Danio rerio: one gene and its partners. The protein of the gene in region 1 interacts with the protein of each later gene in a biochemical or structural test. Links are inferred from orthologs where the notes say so. Each region holds a gene or a part of one and is shown in the gene's direction. Other genes may lie near its edges.

Region 1 (4,364 bases):
CTGTGAAATTGATAAAAATATTCATTTTCGAGATAGGGTGTATTAACTGTATTGTGTGACTGATTTTATTCTGCACCGGTTTTAATAAACATGTTTACATGCCATTTTGTATTTTCTATTAACCCTGTTTTTTTTAACACTATAAAATGAAACAGGGAATTTTATTTTTTATATAATTGTGTCGGTTTTTCAATTATTACTTTGCTGTAGTTGTTATTCAATACATATTTAAATGTATTTTTTATTATATAAAACATTTTGCTGATCCAACTTCAGCAGCATGGATTCTGGCTAAAGACGTATTTGGGGCTTTTGAACAAAATAGTAATTTCATCTGGCTCTTTAACGCCCCCTTTTGTTGGACTGTTATTGAGACTGTCAAGCAGCCAGTGTAAAGAAGGCTAAATAAAGTTGGCCGCATTAAGAATAAATTCTTAAATACATTTTCTTTACCTGATAGACTGATCGTGGTAAATAACCAAATACATTAATCATAAAGTGTCCATTCACTCTCAGAAATAAAGGTACAGGAGCTGTCACTGGGGCAGTACCTTTGCAAAAGATACATACTTGTGCCCAAAGAATCCACAATGGTACCTCAAATGGGGCATATTAGTACGCAAATGTACTTAAAACGCACCCATGAGATACCATTATAAAGCCTTCAAGTGCAAATTTGTACCTTTTGAAAATGTACTGTGACAGCTCATGTTTTTTCTGAGATTGTTGGAAAATAAAATTGAAATGTAATTGCGATTTCTTTACTAAATTATATACGTTTAATGTTGGCTTAATGTAGTTTTCCTTCAGTGTTTCATTAAAATATTTCATACCTAAATTGATCAAGCAATCTTTATCTGTACATTTTGAACACCATGAACTGAAAAGCATGCATAATGTTATTCTGAATTTTTAAACGTGTGAATGTGCGTGTGTATTTAAAAGTAGCTAATTATTGCTCACATTTGTTTGACATTTTCAATGCCGCGCTATGAGGGAAAAACATCCATAAAACAATAAAAACAAAACTAATAATAATTAAAACAACATTTTAAATGTTTGCATTCTCGTATTATTTCTGTTACAAATATATTAGACTTATCAAATTCAGCACTAGTAAATTATACAATTAGAAAATGTATTAATTAGAAATTAGAAACCAATTGGTTGTTTTTTCCATTAACAAGCAAAGTTAAAAGCAAAGCTCATGCTTGAATTTATTTGTAAAGTTGAAATTTGATGGAAAATAAACAAGTAGGCCTAAATGTTAATTTGGTATACAAGCAAATAAAACTTCTATTATTTCTAAGGGAATTTATCATTCTTACATTTTTATAACACAATCATTAGCATCATGCTGTCAAAATCACGCCCCCTTGTTATCGCACATGTTCATTGGTCAGTCTGTCATCTGTAGGACCTCCCCCGACAAGCTGGTGTGTTTATTATCAGGCCCTGATCTCTTACCAGCAACAAGTACCTGAGGGGTACATGCAAAGAAACCCTCCGAGGTCCTGCGAATTTTAGACTGTAGTTTTGAAACGTACGTTATTTCGGGATCTGAAGGACTTTGTCTTACTATTCCTAATTTTGGTTTTTATTTTTTTTACAAATTTACTACTTTGGAAACATTCAAGTACATTTCTTGCTTTTTAAACTTTAACACAAAAAAGATGGAGTTGTCGGATATCCCCTTCCCCATCCCATCAGCTGATGACTTCTACGACGACCCTTGCTTCAACACCAACGACATGCACTTCTTTGAAGACTTGGACCCCAGGCTTGTTCACGTGAGCCTGCTCAAACCCGACGAGCATCACCACATCGAGGACGAGCACGTGAGGGCGCCCAGTGGGCATCATCAGGCCGGCAGGTGCCTACTGTGGGCATGCAAAGCTTGCAAGAGAAAAACTACCAATGCTGACCGTCGCAAAGCCGCCACCATGAGGGAGAGGAGGCGACTGAGCAAGGTCAACGACGCTTTCGAGACCCTCAAGAGATGCACGTCCACCAACCCGAACCAGAGGCTGCCCAAAGTGGAGATTCTGAGAAACGCCATTAGTTATATCGAGTCTCTGCAGGCTCTTCTCAGAAGTCAAGAGGATAACTACTATCCCGTTCTGGAACATTACAGTGGAGACTCTGATGCTTCCAGTCCGAGATCCAACTGCTCTGATGGCATGGTGAGAAACTTATTTTATATACTGAGGCTTTTACATACTATAGCTACAGTATAATTGTGATGTCGCTAAGCCATAAGTCGTTTAGTGTTTACTTGGACAAATAAACTTGGACTTGTTTTTTTGCACTGATTTTGTAATTTAGGATAATTCAGCAACATTATTTTTCAACATTTAAGAGAAAGATGGGAATAATTAAAGATCGCTTGTAAATATTTTATCTCTTGTGTTTGCTGATTTAATTTTCTTTTCAATATAAATATAGATTAAAGTGTCTTTTCGTTTCCCAGATGGATTTTATGGGCCCAACGTGTCAGACGAGAAGACGGAACAGCTATGACAGCTCTTACTTCAATGACACACCAAATGGTAAGTTTGCTCGAAAAATAAAATAAAATAAGTTGGCTGAAAAAATGTTTAACTGTTATGCAAAGTTAAACTATTCTTTTGGATTGAGTTTAAAAGTAAACTATTATGTTTCTAAATTCTCATAGACTAATTTTATTTGAGTTAAAAAAATAAAAATCTTTCTGTTTGTTTGTTTTTTCTAGCTGACGCACGGAATAATAAAAACTCAGTGGTGTCGAGTTTGGATTGTCTGTCCAGCATCGTGGAGCGAATTTCCACAGAGACTCCTGCATGTCCCGTGCTGTCAGTACCGGAGGGGCACGAAGAGAGCCCGTGTTCTCCGCATGAGGGATCTGTCCTGAGTGACACCGGAACCACCGCACCGTCCCCGACCAGCTGCCCTCAACAGCAGGCTCAGGAAACCATTTATCAAGTGCTTTAAAATTCTGCAACATTTCAAAACAAATTGAAAAAGACAATCTGAATGAAGAAACTTTCAGCAGAAAAAGGCGAATCCGACCTTTAACGACAAAAGAAAGACTTTTGATCCACTGCTGGAAACTAGGAAAGAATGCTTTCTTTCTTTCTTTCTTTCTTTCTTTCTTTCTTTCTTTCTTTCTTTCTTTCTTTCTTTCTTTCTTTCTTTCTTTCTTTCTTTCATAGACTAATTCTTTTTTTCTTTCTTTCTTTCTTTCTTTCTTTCTTTCTTTCTTTCTTTTTTTCTTTCTTTCTTTCTTTCTTTCTTTCTTTCTTTCTTTCTTTCTTTCTTTCTTTCTTTCTTTATGCGGTGGAAAATGTAATTCCAATATGAGAAAAGACTCAGCAGATCAGCAGAAGTGAGTTTCTTAACTAAGCTTATTTATATTGTTATATCCACGTGAAAATGTGACCATATTTTTTTCCCTTTGTGAATATATTTTCTGTCACCATCACCTTTTATTTTCCTAATTATTTACGGAAAAAATCGTAATCCAGATACGAATAGTAGGACCATTTTTGTATATGTGTAAATAAGATCTGTTTTGTTAAAGCGACGAAAACGAACAAACATATTATTGTATTTAATGATGCCTGTTTGAAACACTAGTTTGTTGTGTCTTGTGTTAAACTTTATATTTATACTTCTTAAACGAGTGAATGACGGATAAATAAAAACAACTATTTATACTGGAATATCTATGTGATTTGTTGTGATTTATTGGATGTATAAACATTTAGCCTACTGTACACGTGATATATCAATTTGTTGAAATCAAATCGGTTTAGCGTTACACAATAAACAGGCCTGTACAATTTAGATTTATTTATACCTTATTTCACGAGGTTGTAGCTAAAAGTGATATCACAATAAAAAAAAAGTACGCAATTGAAAAATAAGATTATAATCGTTTACATGTTGTTCTGAAACCATTCGAGTTGCAAGAACAATTTAATGCTCCTCAGTATTTGTTTGATTATTATTGCATCTGAATCAAAATAATTTAATCAACTAGCCTTTTATTACAACACAAAAAGGTGTAATAGATTTTTATTTATGTTGAACTGAAGGGAATAGGCATTTTCAAAGAAAATGAAATGCTTGGTCTCTCTTTTTTACATTTCGATGCTTAACCATTTTCATAAAATGATTACGCGTCAAGCAGCATGAATATGTTTAATTCAAATATACAGACCTTTATATTGCACTAACTAAAGTACCAAACGTATGTTTTCGCTGTGATAAAATAGCAGAGCCATTTTAAAAACAATTCTATGAGGTTTATGAACATTTGCAAAATATAAATATTACCACTTTCATTATAAAGAAACTTTTTTTTATTGAAAGTTCTCACAGAT
Region 2 (3,823 bases), on another chromosome or scaffold:
ACTTGTTCCAATCCTGTCTGAGTTTCTTCTGCTCAACACAAAAGACTACATGTTAAAAAAAAACGGTTATACATTCACTTCAACATTTTTTTTTCTCTACTATGGAGGTCAATGGCCAGTGGTTTGCTACATTTTTCAAATTTTCTACATTTATGTTCAGCAGATGAAAGAAAATGAAGGTTTTGAATCACTGAGAAAACTCAGATTTTCATTAAACTGGAAATCCCAGAAATGTTGTTTTGCTTATTTATTTATTAGTTGTAACTTAAAAAAAACATTTCAAAATATTTAAATAAGTGATTAAATAAATAACATAAAATCATTAGTTATAAACACAAATCAATGTGTAAATAAATAAATATATTATAATTAAAATGTGAATTCACTTGTATTTTGCATTGTTTTAGTTCAATACAAAACATTTGATTACAAATGATATCATAATTTGACTGAAACACGAAAAAGCAGAACAACTTGATAATTACAGCTGTTTACAGTTGATCAGACTGCGTATTACAGACTACAAATTACCTGATGAAAAATGTCAGAAATGTAATCTAGATTACAAACTATAGATAAGGTAATCTAAATGACATATTAGAAATAGTATAATTTGACTCCCCTTAAATTACTTTAGACTTGCTTATTCTGTTTGTTTATTTAATGGTCTCCAAATTCTGAAGATTGGATTATAGATTTTATTTAGCCTTTATATTTTGTTTATTTATCATTATATATTTTTTTTCAATTTATTATCTTTTGTTGAAGCCAAACAACAACAACACTAATTGTGAATCAAGAAAATACAAATAATTTACTTCACTAATATACTGTGTATATATACTGTATATATATATATATGTGTGTGTGTGTGTGTGTGTGTGTTGAAGATTTCAACACATTTCTAAACATACTAGTTTTAATAACTACATTTTTAATAACTGATTTCTTTTATCTTTCGCCATAATATTTTACTAGACATTTTTCAAGATACTAGTGTTCAGCTTTAAGTGCAATTTAAAGGCTTAAATAGGTTAATTAAGCAAGTCAGGGTAATTCGACAAGTCATTGTATAGCAGTGGTTTGCATTGTGGACAATAAAACAAAATGCTTAAGGGGGCTAATAACATTGACCCTAGGCTAATATGTTTTTTATTTTTTATTATTAAAAAACGGCTTTTATTCAGGAAAAATATCTAGTATCCAGTTAATATTATTTAAAGAAACTTCTATAAAGCTTAGTGACATTTAAAGGCTTAACTAGGTTAATTAGGTTAACTAGGCAGGTTAGGGTAATTAGGCAAGTTATTGTATAATGATGGGTTTGTTCTGTTGACTATCAAAAACATATAGCTTAAAGGGGCTAATAATTTTGACTTTAAAATGGCTTTAAAAAAATTTAAAACGGCTTTTATTCTAGCTGAAATAAAAGTAATAAGAATTTCTCCAGAAGAAAAAAATATTATAATACATACTGTGAAAATTTCCTTGCTCTGTTAAACATCATTTGGTAAACATTTAAAAATGTATATATGCATGATTTGTTTGTTTTTAGTGGTTTGTCGTAAAGGTTTGGACAGCACCACAGTTGCCGCACATGAGTCTGAGATATACTGCAAAACCTGCTACGGCAAGAAATATGGTCCGAAAGGTTATGGGTATGGCCAGGGTGCTGGAGCTTTGAGTTCTGACCCGGTCAATAATGAAGAACTTCAGCCTCAAGAGTACGTCCTCAAAATACACTCATAATGTTGAACGTTTTTTGTTATGCATGAACTGACTTTTACCAAGTTTTAAGGACAGATTTATACCCTTAATGCATGTTCATATGCAAAAATCATTTTACATTGATTACACTGAGATGCCAATTTTTATGAAGGATACAGTACATACAGTGCTCAACATAACTGACTACACCCGATTTTGAAAATGAATATTTTTAACCATTTCTCAGTGAATATAGGTCATATATTTTGGTGTATTTGAACAAAATAGATTTACTAAACCAATACATTTATTCAAATAATATTTTAGTCACCGAACATCTTTAGAAATGGAAAGATAATACATTTAAATTCATGCAAAATAAAAAAAAAAATGACAAACTACAAAAACTCAACAAAATTTTTTTCTCTTGAATGTTTTTTTTTTTCGTATACATTTGGGCTACTAATTTTGGACCGTTATCATGAGTTATTTTGTTAGATTAGCTTCAGATTTGTATATACTGTATACTTTAAAATGCGTGTATGCTAATGTATGAATAAAAAAAATGAAGTACTCCTCTGTCTTAGGGTTGGACTTGTGCTATCGGACACTAGCTGTATATGAAATCTTAAGATGTCCATATTTAGATAACCTGTATGTGTGTGTGTGTGTGTGTGTGTGTGTGTGTGTGTGTTCTGAACATTTTAAGGCCCAAAGCTCCACGTCCTGCACCTGCGAACTCAAACTCAAGCAAGTTTGCGCAGAAGTTCGGGAGTACAGATCGCTGTCCTCGCTGCTCTAAAGCTGTTTATGCAGCGGAGAAAATCATGGGTGCTGGAAAGGTAAAACCACTGCAAAAATTACCCTGAGAAGCTGACGCTGCATTAATGCTACAATACACTGCTAAAATATGAAATATATTATTAATAAACCACCTAATCTAAATACGTAGCAGATTCTGAGAAACTGTTCCTCCTCAGCACTTCTGCAATATGCTGCTGTCACAGGTCAGCGCTGTGTAAAGTAGTAATTCATCAGTCTGTACCTGCTTTTGATCCAACAGCCCTGGCACAAAACCTGCTTCCGCTGTTTATTGTGCGGGAAGAGCCTGGAGTCCACCACCGTGACGGATAAAGATGGAGAGCTCTACTGTAAAGGTACAATCAATCAAAGGAAACTGCTCAATCTCATTAGTATCACTTAACTGATCAATAGATGCTGTTTCAAAGACCTAGTTAATGTTCAACAGCCATTACAGCACAACTGATGCAATCAACAGCTCAAATACTGTAGCCGTGTGAATAAAGGGTTAGTTCACCCAAAAATTTAAATTGCGTTATTAATCACTCACCTTCATGTCGTTACATTCCCAAGACCTTCATTCATTTTCGGAACACAAAGACATTTTAGATGAAACCTCAGAGCTCTCTGACCCTCCATAGACATCAGGGGTCCAGACAGGGCCGGAGTGGGACTCCTTTTCAGCCCTGGAGTTTCAAGCCTCAGAGCGGCCTACCTCAGTTCACGACTGACTATATTAAAATAAGGTCATTCCAAATCAGTTTCTAATTACACTATCACGTCTTTTTTTGAGAAAAAAGCTGCTTTAGAACTTCAAATGTTCAACAACCCTAACATTATTATATGTCTTAACAATAAAAAAAAAAAAAACATACTCAGACAGGGATTAAACCCGGGTCGGCAGCGTCATAATCTAACATGCTAACCACTGGACCACAACAGTTGTATATTGAGATGTGACCCATCGGAGTTATATCATCATTATACATAAAAAGAGCAGAGCTGCGGTTAAATAATGAATAAGAAGACTGTGGTCAAGTAAATAAATAAATTAATTTAAATTAAGTGTGACTGCTGAGAGCAACAGATTCTGGAGCTAGGGACAACGGCCCTCGCGGCCAAAAAACGGACCGGCCCACCGGGAATTCTCCTGGTCCTCCCGATTAGCCAATCCGGGCCTGGGTCCAGAGATGTTTTAAGTTCAGAAAAGGAACCAAAGATATTGCCGAAACATTCCATGTTACTTCAATGGTTTAACTGTCTTCATAAAAAGCTCCATAAACACCTATGGGCCAAGCGGCAACCTCCTGCTCTC
Region 3 (4,202 bases), on another chromosome or scaffold:
ACACACACACACACATCAATATAAGGAGCCTGTGTGGTGTCATATCAAAGAAAATGTACAGTTATTAAGAAAAACACGCTCTCTTATACTATGAACACAGAGTTAACCTCACTGAAACACTTCTACAATTATCACACACTTATAAACATTAAACAGGAGGGAGGATGAACAGCGCACAGTGGCCAGCTTTACTGATGCACCAAATATATATATATATATTTACATGTTGTGTGTGAGAAGCAGTAAATTACAGGTCATCATCATCCACCAAACACTCAAATATGGAAAATGTTTAAAAATAAAGTCAATTTTTGACATTTTAGGAAGTTTTTTGTGGGGAAATGTTGTAATGGTGCAGCGCTGGGCAGCAGAAATGCAGTGTTGCTTGCTTTACTGTGTGTGTGTGTGTGTGTGTGTGTGTGTGTGTGTACAGTTTATTTAGATCAATGACAGCCTACATGTCTGTATGTCACACTAATGATCATCAGAGAAGTCTTATATTAAGAAAGAGGAGAATCAAAGTGTGCGTATTAACACACACACACACACACACACACACACACACACACACACACACACACACAGAGTGTGTTCGAGGTTGTTCTGGCTCTAGTGATGGTGATGTGCTTTCAGGCTCTGGGTTTGTGTGTTTGTGGCCTGTTTACACAACCAGCAGCGCCACACAACTGAGCTGTTGAGTAAATGTGGAGAAACTGGTGTGTGTGTGTGTGTGTGTGTGTGCAGGTTTGTCTTAATACAGCTAAAACTGATGTTTCTGTCTTACAGCAGAGTCACACACACATACTGACAGCAGTGTGTGCACATGTACAGGTGTGTGTGTGTGTGTGTACAGGTGTGTGAGCGTGTGTATGTTTGTGCAGGTAATGATGCCTGCAGAGGAACTTGTGTGCGCGTGCATCAGGTGATGGCACAGTAATGTGTGTGTGTTTGCAGATGGCGCAGGAGGTGGGGCTGCAGTATGAGCCAGTAGCAGAGATCGGGGGCGGGGCTTACGGGACCGTCTATAAGGCTCGGGATCGGGACAGCGGGCAGTTTGTGGCGCTGAAGAGCGTTCGGGTGCAGACCAATCAGGACGGACTCCCACTGTCCACGGTTCGAGAGGTGGCTCTGCTGAAGCGCCTGGAGCAGTTCGACCATCCCAACATCGTCAGGTACACACACACAGTTACATACACACACACAATCACTGATACACACAATTACTCATGGGCACACACACACACACACACACACACACACACACACACACTGATCTCCTTCAGAACTGTAGTAGTTCTGCAACTGTTTGTTTGAGGTTCTTGTTTTGCTGAAAGATCTCGTAATCTGTGTGTCGCGTCCTCTGTGCGTGATGACGGGGTGTGTGTGTCTATGATCAGGCATTTTGTAAGTGTGTAATCTGTGTGTGTGTGTGTGTGTGTTTCAGGCTGATGGACGTGTGCGCGACCCTCAGGACGGATCAGGAGACTAAAGTGACGCTGGTGTTTGAACATGTGGATCAGGATCTCAGGACATACCTGGAGAAAGTTCCAGCACCGGGACTGCCTGTGGACAAAATCAGAGTAAGACACACACACACACACACACACACACACACACACACACATGAATATTTATTGTTTGACCAATAGTTCAGTTATATTGTGGGTTAATTGGTCAGAGCGGGGTCTTCTCAGCTGAGCGCATGCCATGTATAAAGTAAGCTGTGTCAGTGTAAGCGGGGCCTGAGTGTGTGTTGTTTGCGAGCGGGTTTGTGAGTATGTGTTGTTTGCGAGCGGGTTTGCGATGGGGGCGGGGCGGGGTGGAGGATTGGCGATGCCGGCTCAGCATCGTGTTGTCTATCGGCCATCGGTGATGAATGATGGCATCATCTGTATAAACGTGGTTGAGCTCAAGCGCATCAGATGAACAACCAATGAGAAGAAGAGGGCGGGGCATGCCAGACAGGAGAGAGCGTGTGATTGGTCAGGATATTTGATGAGAAACTGCTGTATGAAGTGATGTGCTTGATCCATTTAGGCGGACGAGACAAACTGCAGACGTTCTATCTGCTCAATGTGAATGTCGTCTCTGTTTCTGGATATTATAGATATCAGCACGACTAACACACTGATGCTCACATTATTTCAATATCACAGGGCCTTCATAATCCTTTATAAAGCATTACAGCATGCTTTAATTGTATTTATTAGACAGCTGTCTGGAGGGCTGATTGGTCATTTCTGACACTTCAACAGTGTGTTATTCCCTGATAACACCTGCTGAATAACATGGAGAGAGAGAGAGTGTGTGTGTGTGTTCTGCAGGTCCTGATGCAGCAGTTGTTGTGTTGTCTTGCGTTCCTGTAATGTGTGTGTGTGTGCGTGTGTGTGTGTGCGTGTGTGTGTGTGTGTGTAGGACCTGATGCAGCAGCTGCTGTGTGGTCTGGCGTTCCTGCACACTAATCGAGTTCTCCATCGGGATCTGAAGCCGGAGAACATCCTGGTGACCAGCAGAGGGCAGGTGAAGCTGGCGGACTTCGGGCTGGCGCGCATCTACAGCTGCCACATGGCACTGACCCCGGTGGTGAGACACTCACACACACACACACACACACACACACACACACACACACACACACACACACACACACACACAGAGACACACAATGTCCTGTGAACACACTGCTGACACACAAATACTGATGTGTATGTGTGTGTGTGTGTGTGTGTGTGTGTGTGTGTGTGTGTGTGTGTCAGGTGGTGACGCTGTGGTATCGCTCTCCTGAGGTGCTCCTGCAGAGCACATACGCCACACCAGTGGACATCTGGAGCACCGGCTGCATCTTTGCCGAGATGTTCAGACGCAAGTGAGTCTCAGCAGAGTGTGTGTGTGTGTGTGTGTGCGTGCGTGCGTGCGTGCGTGCGTGCGCGTGTGTGTCAGCGGCTGCAGATCTGCTGCTGTATGTCCTCTGGTTTGTGAGCTTGAGTTGATGATTCTGTCCTGATTCTCCTCTTCAGGCCTCTGTTCTGCGGAGATTCAGAGGCGGACCAGCTGGGGAAGATCTTTGCGTATGTCAAACACACACACACACACACACACATTCACACAGAGAGATGAGGTGTGTTATTGACGGATCAGTGTGTCCCTCAGGGTGATCGGTCTGCCGGCGGAGGATCAGTGGCCCACAGACGTCACTCTTTCCCACCACAACTTCAGCCCTCAGAGCCCTCGGCCAATCACAGACTGCGTTCCGGACATCACAGAGAAAGGGGCGGAGCTATTGCTGGTACGTTTACACACACACCGACAGATAACCCTGAGCACAACACACACAGCTCAGACGCAGGGCGCTGTAGGAGAGAGTGATGCTGCATCGGTCACCTGGATCTGCTGACCGCTCGTGTTCAGCAGGAGATGCTAAACGCATGAGTGATGTGAGAGACGCGCTGACAGCTCTGTGTTCTTGTGTTGACAGAAAATGCTGACCTTCGACCCGCTGAAGAGGATCTCTGCGCTGAACGCTCTGGATCATCCCTTCTTCAGCGAGTGATGCTGCTCTACACACACACACACACACACACACACACACACACACAAGCCAGCAGACTGAAGATAAACATTCCCTGAGTGTGTGTGTGTGTGTGTTCATCTGCTCTGTGATGAAGAGGAGCTTAAATCAGGGGTGTCAAAGTCAGTTCCTGGAGGGCCGCAGCTCTGCTCAGTTTAGTTTTCCCCTAATTAAACACAGCTGATCACACTAATTGAGTCCTTCTGGCTTGTTTGAAAGCTCCAGGTGAGTGTGTTGGAGCAGGGCTGGAGCTGAACTGTGCAGGGCTGCGGCCCTCCAGGAACTGAGTTTGACTCCGCTGGCTTAAAGGGTCAGTTCACCCACAAATCAACATCTACTGGCGCTTATCTCTCCCTCAGGGGGTCTGAAACCTGTTGGAGCTTCTCTCTTCTGTTCAACATGAAAGAAGATATTTGGAAAAATGTTGTAATTATTGACATCTAAAGTAGGAGAAACAAATAGTATATAAGTCAATGGTTGCTGGTGTTCAACATTTTTCTAAATATCTTCTTAATGTTTAACAGAAGATGGGTTAAAGACCCCGTGAGGGAGAGATAACCCTAAGTAGATGTCGATTTGTGGGTGAACTGACCCTTCAGTGCTCGTTCTCCATCAGTGTGATGTTATTAGTGTT

Evidence for each region. The genes of interacting proteins can lie anywhere in the genome.
Region 2: the proteins of myod1 (region 1) and csrp3 form a complex in vitro, tested with the Homo sapiens proteins (2 studies listed by BioGRID and IntAct, with this or other methods). The link is inferred for Danio rerio from reciprocal best matches to the Homo sapiens genes MYOD1 and CSRP3.
Region 3: the proteins of myod1 (region 1) and cdk4 form a complex in vitro, tested with the Homo sapiens proteins (2 studies listed by BioGRID). The link is inferred for Danio rerio from reciprocal best matches to the Homo sapiens genes MYOD1 and CDK4.

What each region holds. Positions count from the first base shown.
Region 1 is NC_133200.1:33,824,439-33,828,802, reverse strand, and holds myod1 (myoblast determination protein 1 homolog), read left to right. Parts: upstream 1-1,494; 5' UTR 1,495-1,673; coding exon 1,674-2,183; intron 2,184-2,470; coding exon 2,471-2,549; intron 2,550-2,731; coding exon 2,732-2,970; 3' UTR 2,971-3,701; downstream 3,702-4,364. UniProt on the Homo sapiens protein: Acts as a transcriptional activator that promotes transcription of muscle-specific target genes and plays a role in muscle differentiation. Together with MYF5 and MYOG, co-occupies muscle-specific gene promoter core region during myogenesis.
Region 2 is NC_133182.1:16,562,405-16,566,227, reverse strand, and holds part of csrp3 (cysteine and glycine-rich protein 3), read left to right. Parts: intron 1-1,555; coding exon 1,556-1,724; intron 1,725-2,416; coding exon 2,417-2,549; intron 2,550-2,770; coding exon 2,771-2,864; intron 2,865-3,823. UniProt on the Homo sapiens protein: Positive regulator of myogenesis. Acts as a cofactor for myogenic bHLH transcription factors such as MYOD1, and probably MYOG and MYF6.
Region 3 is NC_133186.1:160,535-164,736, reverse strand, and holds the end of cdk4 (cyclin-dependent kinase 4), read left to right. Parts: intron 1-954; coding exon 955-1,172; intron 1,173-1,444; coding exon 1,445-1,580; intron 1,581-2,415; coding exon 2,416-2,583; intron 2,584-2,756; coding exon 2,757-2,866; intron 2,867-3,017; coding exon 3,018-3,068; intron 3,069-3,150; coding exon 3,151-3,286; intron 3,287-3,475; coding exon 3,476-3,550; 3' UTR 3,551-3,682; downstream 3,683-4,202.